Elephas maximus indicus: one gene and its partner. The protein of the gene in region 2 interacts with the protein of the main gene of each other region in a pairwise test. Links are inferred from orthologs where the notes say so. Each region holds a gene or a part of one and is shown on either strand. Other genes may lie near its edges.

Region 1 (3,747 bases), on a different chromosome or scaffold from region 2:
GCTGTGTCTGTCCAAGGAGAGCTGGTCCAGCCACCAGGCTCAGTTCAGCCACAATATAACCCTCCCAGCCCTGGGGGTCAGCGCCCCGGCCCTGGCGGCCGCTCCAGTGCCTGTTTGCCCACCAGCACGTCCATGAGGTAGTCCAGCTCAGCCTCGTCCAGCTCTGGAGTCGCCTCCTTGCCTGCACCCTCTACAGGGCCAGGTTTGAAGCCCTCAGAGGCTGGTGCCCAGAGTTCGCTGTCGTACATGGAGGTGTCGATGTCCTCAAATAGGCCCTCGAGTCCATCATCCAGCAGACAGCCAGTGGCTGGGCCCAGCAGATCCAAGGCACCCAGGCTGGGCGGGGCTCCCCCAGTGGGGCGGCCTAGTGGCCCCTCATCGGCCAGGGGCTGGGGGGCTTGGCTCAGGCCCTCAATGTGGCTGAGGTCCTCCAGAAGGCTGGCCATAGAGGCTGAGAGGGCAGCGTCTGAGCTGGCCAGCAGGCTGTCAGCCACTCCAGGGGCTACAGGTGGGCTGGGCACAGGTGGCAGGGCAGCCGCAGGTGCCATGGATGCCTGGATGCGTCGCAGTGTGTTCACAACTAGCACCAGGTGCCGCAGGTCCGGCTCACTCTGCCGCAGGCTGTGGTGGAGTTTGAGCACCGAGAGGTCAAAGAGGGAGCTGGAGGCCACGGTGGGGGGTGCCTGTGCTACGTCTGGGTGACCAGGATCCAGCCACCAGGCATCGACTGCCAGGGTTTCCTTCTCCTCCTCCTCCTCCCGCTTGCGCTTCAAGCCCTTGCTCAGCATCATCTATGGGGAGGAAGGAGTCTTTCAGTTATAGAAAGCAAACGTTCAAATCCTGGCTCTGACAATTGCTGACTGTGTGGCTTTGGGCAAGTCACTTAACCTCTCTTAAGTCACTTAACCTTAGGGAACTTTTCACATATGGTATTCACCTCATAGTTTTAAGGGTTAAATGAGATACAAAAAGGCTTACAACAGTGACTGGTACACAGTAATTACTTTTATTAACAAGTACTCTTAGAAATAACTATTATTTAGTTCTTCATTGAACTATATAAAATGGTCATTATCCAACTTTTTTTTAACTTACAGAAGTGGTTGTTTCACACAGTTAAATCTGGTGTTTACTGAATGCCTACTTTGTGTCAAATACAGGAAAATTACCAATAGTGCTAGGAAGACACTTAAAGATTCATGGTAGGGGGTGGTCAGGGAAGGGTCCTCGAGGAAGTGACAATTGAGACAAGAAGGGGTCAGCCATGGAAGAACCATGGAAGACAGAACAACAGCATGGGCAAAGAAAGGCCCGGAGGCTGGATAAGCTTGGACTGAAAAAGACTGGTGTGGCTGGTGCACACGGAGTGGGATGGCAGGCGATGAGGTGGGGGCAGTAGGAGGGGCCAGGTCACTGACGGCCATATAAGACAAGGTAAGGAGTTTGGCTTTCCTTGTGTGTTGGGAAGTCAGCGAAGGGTGTGCGCAGGGAGGGAAATGGTGTTTTCAGAAGATCCTCACAGGAACTGCAAGGAATAGTGTGTGTGTCCCGAAAAGCCACAGGCAGGCGGCTGTAACTCTTTGGGGCAAACGAAGGTGGCTGTGGACACGGAAGGAAGTTGACCGATTCAGGATATATTTGAGATGCAGAGCGGGGAAGACTTGCCGGGAAATCCTGACTGGGGAGTGGAAGCGCGTGGGGGGCGGGTGTGACAGAGAAGTTTCAGGACCCAGATCCTCCCCAGGTGGATCCCTGGATTTATGGACCCCTGGCCCGACTGCTTTTTTGACTCAGGCAGTTTGCAGGATCCATCCCTGGGGCCTTTGCCGAGCAGGACCTTAAGAGCGACCCCCATCCTATCCAAGACTGGGTCCTCTCCCTCTGTCCCACAGACCCTGGAGTCCGGAACCGCAGGAATTTAGCCCCCACCCCCGGCTCCGCCTCCGGGGCCCCGGCGCCCCCTAGCGGCGCCCAGGCCCGCATTCCCTCGGAGATTTCGGCCCCTCCGAACCCAGGACCCTTTACACCGCCCCGTGTCCGGGCTCTCGTTCCTGCCTGGCCCCCAGAGCCGTTCCGGCGGGCAGTTCTGCCCTCCGGGCCTCTTACTCGCTTCCGGAAGGCAGAGGAGGCGGCTCCTCCCGAAGCGGCGGCGGCGGGGGCGGGTGAGTCACGCAGCCGGAGCCAGGGAGCCGGCGCCTCCGCCCCCTTTTCGGGCTGCGGCGTGATTCACCCGGCCAGGCCAGGCGGGCGACACGTAGAGGCCCGTGAATCTAGATCTCGGGCAGCCCCGGCGCGCACCTGCCGGACTCGGGATCGAACCCTCCTACAGACCCCGCAGCCGGTTCTCCTTCTCTCCCCCGGTCTCTTCCCTTCATTTACATACCCAGTTCACCAGCTGCCAATCAGAACGAAGAGTTAGCCGCCCGCAGCCAATCAGGAAGCGGCGGCCGCAGCATCGCTCGCTTGCTCCGCTCCAGCAACCGGCGCCTAGGTCCGGAGACGGGGTTCTGACTCCGGCTCACAACTCCAGACTCCTGACTCCTCTTAGCTCCCGCCTACTTCCGTGGCGGCCCCACCCTCTACCTCACGGATTGGCCCTATGCGGTGGTGGGCGGAGCCTGTAAGGGGCAGGTTGGAAGGGAGGGGAGGTTAGCTTCAGAGCGCATGTTCCGGCGGCTGCGGGAGAGAAAGAGGCGTGGCTATTTGCCCTGAGGGATTGTGACGGGGAGGGGCTTTTGCGTATCGAAGTGCAAGCCCCTCACACCTACCCATGCGCCTGCTAAACCCAGCCCTTGAGTTCTTACCCACCCAGCTGCAACAGGGGTGTGCACGCTAGGCCTGGGTGCAAATTCTGGCTTACCACTCACTCATGCATGACATTGGAAAAATGCTTGACCTCTCTGAGCCACACACAGTTTTTTAAATGGGGCTCGTCATGGCTACCTCTTGAGAGTTGTGCTGAGAACTCGCGTTTCTAATAAGTTCCCAGGCGATGCTAATGCTGCTGGTTAGTGACCAATGCTGAGAACCACTGGTAGAGCAGTGGTTCTCAAAATTTATTATACATAAGAATCACCTGGGGAATTTATTAAAATATAGATTTTGATTTTTTGATTCAGTATATTTGGGGTGAAAATGCGAATTCTCGGCAGAAGTTCCAACCGGAACAACTGGTTTGAAGCCCTGCACTGAAGTCCTGGACTGCAATCCCTAAGTAGCTGTGTGACCTTAGGCAAATGTTTTAATCCCCAGAGTCTCAGCTTCCTCATCTTTAAAACCGGAGAAATAACAGCGTCTGGCTCTGGAGATTGTTTTGAGAATTAAACGATTTGTGCAAAATGCTCAAAGTGGCATGCAACATGTCCTTTTAAAGCAGTTGTAAATGAGCCCTGGTGGCGCGGTGGTTAAGCGTTCCGCTGCTAACCAAAAGGTCGGCGGTTCCAAACCACCAGCCGCTCCCGCGGAGAAAAATGTGGCAGTCGGCTCCTGTAAAGATTACAGCCTTGGAAACCCTGTAGGGGCAGTTCTACTCCGTCCTGTGCGGTCACTAAGAGTCGGAAACCACTGGATGGCAGGGCTTTTTAATAGCAGTTGTGGGAATAAAACCGAAAAATCCAAACCCAGTGCCGTCGAGTCGATTCCGACTCATAGCGACCATATAGGGCAGAGTAGAACTGCCCCATAGAGTTTCTGAGGAGCGCCTGGAGGATTCGAACTGGTGATTCTTTGGTTAGAATCCGTAGCACT
Region 2 (3,747 bases):
GTATTGTCTGGTTGTTCACCATTTTGTGATCTGATGTGATTATTCTATGTGTTGTAAATCCAAATCTCTATAATGTGAATGAGGCAGGGTTAGAGGCAGTTACGTTAATGCGGCAGGACTCAAATCTACAGGATTAGGTTGTATCTTGAGTCAATCTCTTTTGAAATATAAAAGAGAGAATCGAGCAGAGAGGAGAGGGACTTCATGCCACCAAGAAAGAAGAGCTGGGAGTGGAGCACTTCCTTTGGACTTAAAGTCCCTGTGATGAGAAGCTCTCACATAAGGGGAAGATGGATGATGAGGACCTTCCCCCAGAACCAGCAGAGAGAGAAAGCCCTCCCCTAGAACTGGCACCCTGAATTCAGACTTCTAGCCTCCTAGACTGTGAGAGAATAAACTTCTGTTTGTTAAAGCCATCCACTTGTGGTATTTCTGCTACAGAAGCACTAGATAACTAAGACACCACTAGGGAATGGTAACCTGTAGAACTTATAACAAACAAAATAAGTCATCATCAACAATACTGGCCCTCCCCTGATTTAACATTAACATTCCAAACATTAAAAACAAGGGTCAGAAAATAAAGACTTCATAGCACCCAAAAATAACGTTCTCCTTGCTAATAGGGTGCAATAGGTCTCAGTGGATAGACAGCCAACCCCCACTACTGGCCCTTCTGTTTTCACTAAGCCCAGAACTATTACCATGGGTTTCACTTAAAAAGGAACAAATGATGAATGACTCATTAGAATGTTAATTAAAAATGTACAGTTCCTTTTCAAGAAGTCTTTTTAAAAACGATAAAAATCCTCCATTATTTATTAAGGCTCCTAAGGGCAAGGAATATATCTATTGCCTTTACAACTTCCCCTAAAACCTTGAGGGATGGTTTCTCAATGATGACTCTAATGGTAGAGATCTCCCTCTTTCCATTCAAAGCTAATCTCACTACCTATACTCAGCATTCTACTTCTTTTTACTGCTCCTGACCTTGTCACCCATAATCCACTCTCTCCTTCTGTCTGCAGCTTCTCTATAAATTGGTGTTTTTCTTTTAGCATAAAAATACCTCTCATCTAAAACAAAAACAAAATTCTTCCCTTTACCTTACATGCCTCTCTTTTCCTTCCTGTCACAGGAGAGCCTTTAGAAAGTATAGTTAGCTCTTCAACTATACTTACATTGAGTGGAATATATTGTATTAATACCCCAACCCACTGCACCCTGGCTTTCTACTCCCTTCACTCAATGGAACAGCTCCTATCAAGATCAATAATGGCCTTCTTTTAGTTCCATTTCACTGGGCCTCTCAGGAGCTTCTGACATGTTAATTATTCTCTAAGGTTCCATGCTTCCACTCTGCTGATATTCTTCCTAATATCCTAGCCGTTCCTTCTCAGGCTCTTCTGCCTCATTCTATACCTTCAATAGGAAGTTCTATAGCATTCTTCTCTTGGCCTTCCTTTCTTCTCACTCTCACACTCCGGGGGTGATCACATACATTCCCATGGCTTAAACTACCAATGCATTTATAACTCCCATGATTGCTTTTTTCTCCATGACGCCCAATTTTTACAATCTCCACCAGTCAGTTATAAAGTCAGTTCTCCCACTCCACTGGTACCATACAGTAGGCTAAGCTCTTAGGACTCCATTATCCTATCTCTAGTGATCTCAGTTTTTACCTGGTAACATTAGCCGGCTGCATTCTGAGGCCTCAGTCACCGGAAGGAGGGACAAGCAAGTAATGTCTTTAGTTTCTGATTCCACTAGTCCCTGTCCCAATGGGATAGAGGTATTCTGAACAAACTGTACCAGGAGCTAAAGAGGGGTAAAAAAAGGCAACACTGAGAAATACAGGTTGTCGGGTATGGATCTAAGCCTTTGACTTTACCAAAAAGTGATATACCATATTTTTGCAAACAACCCAGCCACACATACCACACACAGAAATGATGAAATTAAAACCGTTCTGGCATAATCTGCACGTTATTTGCATAAAATGTAGTAATTAAGTCTTGACTGTTCACTAATCTAGGCCTTTATTCATAGAAAAACTAAAGTAACTATAACATAATATTTAAAGTTATTTATCAAGTCCTCTGTTCTGGAGAAAGGCTGAATTTTATAATTATGTTAACCTCTGTCACCTCTCATCAGAGAAATGATAAAAATAATTACATTTTTAAATGATGGCTATTAAAAAATTTCAACTGTATTATATTGATTACATTTTACAAAGCACTCTTCTGTGAACTGGCTCATATAATCCTCACTGCAACCCAGTAAGACTAAACATGTATTTTTCAGATGACAAATCAAGTTGAAGACATTGAGTGATTTGTCTAAATTCACATGGCTAGTTAAGATCAATACCAGTCTTCCAACTTAAGTAATCTAATTCTACATTCAGCAACCTTTCCATTATGCATCAGAGATGCACTAACATTAAAGTGAGAAAAATGAATACACACACACATATATAAATTTCATTTTATAATATCTTGATTATAATAATTTTACACTTAATAACAAATATAAAAAGTCATAAAAGATAAAAACAGTACTTTTAAATCTTTGAAAGTACTTAGTAATGGAAAAATAATAAACTAAGGCAAGAGTTGGCAAACTATGGCCCTTGGGCCAAATCCAGTTCACCATCAGTGTTGTAAATAAACTTTGTATTGGAATACAGCCACGCTCATTAGTGTGTATGACTGCTTTCGCACTGCAACAGGAGAGTTGAGTAGCTATGACCAAAACTGTATGGCCCACAAAGCTTAAAATATTTACTATCTTCCCCATTACAGAAAAAGTTTACTGACCCCAGCAACCAAGGATAAACTTTGGAATACAGCCTATCAAAATAAAAGGACGACTGGGCTCACCTCTGGTTTGGATTCTAACTCATCTGATAACATTGATTCAGCTTCCAAATCCTGTAGCTATTCAGGGGACAGGTTCAAATTTAATTCAGAGTCAATGACACCTTCCTGTTATGCTCATATTTCTTTAGAAAATGCTATGCTCCTGCAGTTAGATGCTGTGCTAGGCAGAACATCAATTCAGCCTAAAATGGGGGAGAGGGGAAGAGGAAGAGAGTTAAGAGCAGTGGAAAATATATCTAAAAAGGCCAAAGACAGACACTTCTTCACAGGTATATCCAAATATCAAAATAAACAAGCAAATGAAGAACTCAGCCCAAAACATGTTACAACAGAACAAGTCCAAGAGGTTTCAAAGCCCATAAAAACGTTATGCTTTGATTCAGCATTTCTACTTCTAATAATCCATTCTAAGAGGTCCTGAATATGGAAAAAGCTGTATGCCCAAGGATGTTCATCTTATCATCTGAGAAAATAAACAACCGGAAGCAACATACAAATACACATATATATCCATTAATTAGGAAGTGATTAAATTACTGCATTGTTACTTAAAAATATGGTCATGAAGATGATGAAACAAAAAAAAATGCTTATGACATGTTAAAAAAATAAAAATCTGTTGCTGTAGAGTCAGTATCAACTCACAGCAACCCCACAGGGCAGAGTAGAACTGTCCCATAGAATTCCAACGATGTAATTTTTAAAGGAGGCTTCTTTACAGAAGCTGTATCTTTCTCTGCAGAGCGGCTGGTGGGTTCGAACTGCTGACCTTTTGGTTAGCAGCTGAGCACTTAACCACTGCGCCACCAGGGCTCCTTATGACGTGTTAAATTACAAAAATAAAATATAAAATTATACA

What was found.
Region 1: the proteins of ZNF410 (region 2) and SERTAD1 interact in binary tests that used the Homo sapiens proteins (3 or more experiments, as listed by UniProt). The two-hybrid records come from large-scale screens. The link is inferred for Elephas maximus indicus from reciprocal best matches to the Homo sapiens genes ZNF410 and SERTAD1.

What each region holds. Positions count from the first base shown.
Region 1 is NC_064829.1:111,235,821-111,239,567, reverse strand, and holds the start of SERTAD1 (SERTA domain-containing protein 1), read right to left. Parts: upstream 2,533-3,747; 5' UTR 2,384-2,532; intron 792-2,383; coding exon 78-791; 3' UTR 1-77. UniProt on the Homo sapiens protein: Acts at E2F-responsive promoters as coregulator to integrate signals provided by PHD- and/or bromodomain-containing transcription factors. Stimulates E2F1/TFDP1 transcriptional activity.
Region 2 is NC_064828.1:86,625,325-86,629,071, reverse strand, and holds the start of ZNF410 (zinc finger protein 410), read right to left. Parts: upstream 2,980-3,747; 5' UTR 2,922-2,979; coding exon 2,889-2,921; intron 1,822-2,888; coding exon 1,686-1,821; intron 1-1,685. UniProt on the Homo sapiens protein: Transcription factor that binds to the sequence motif 5'-CATCCCATAATA-3', and is specifically required to silence expression of fetal hemoglobin in adult erythroid cells.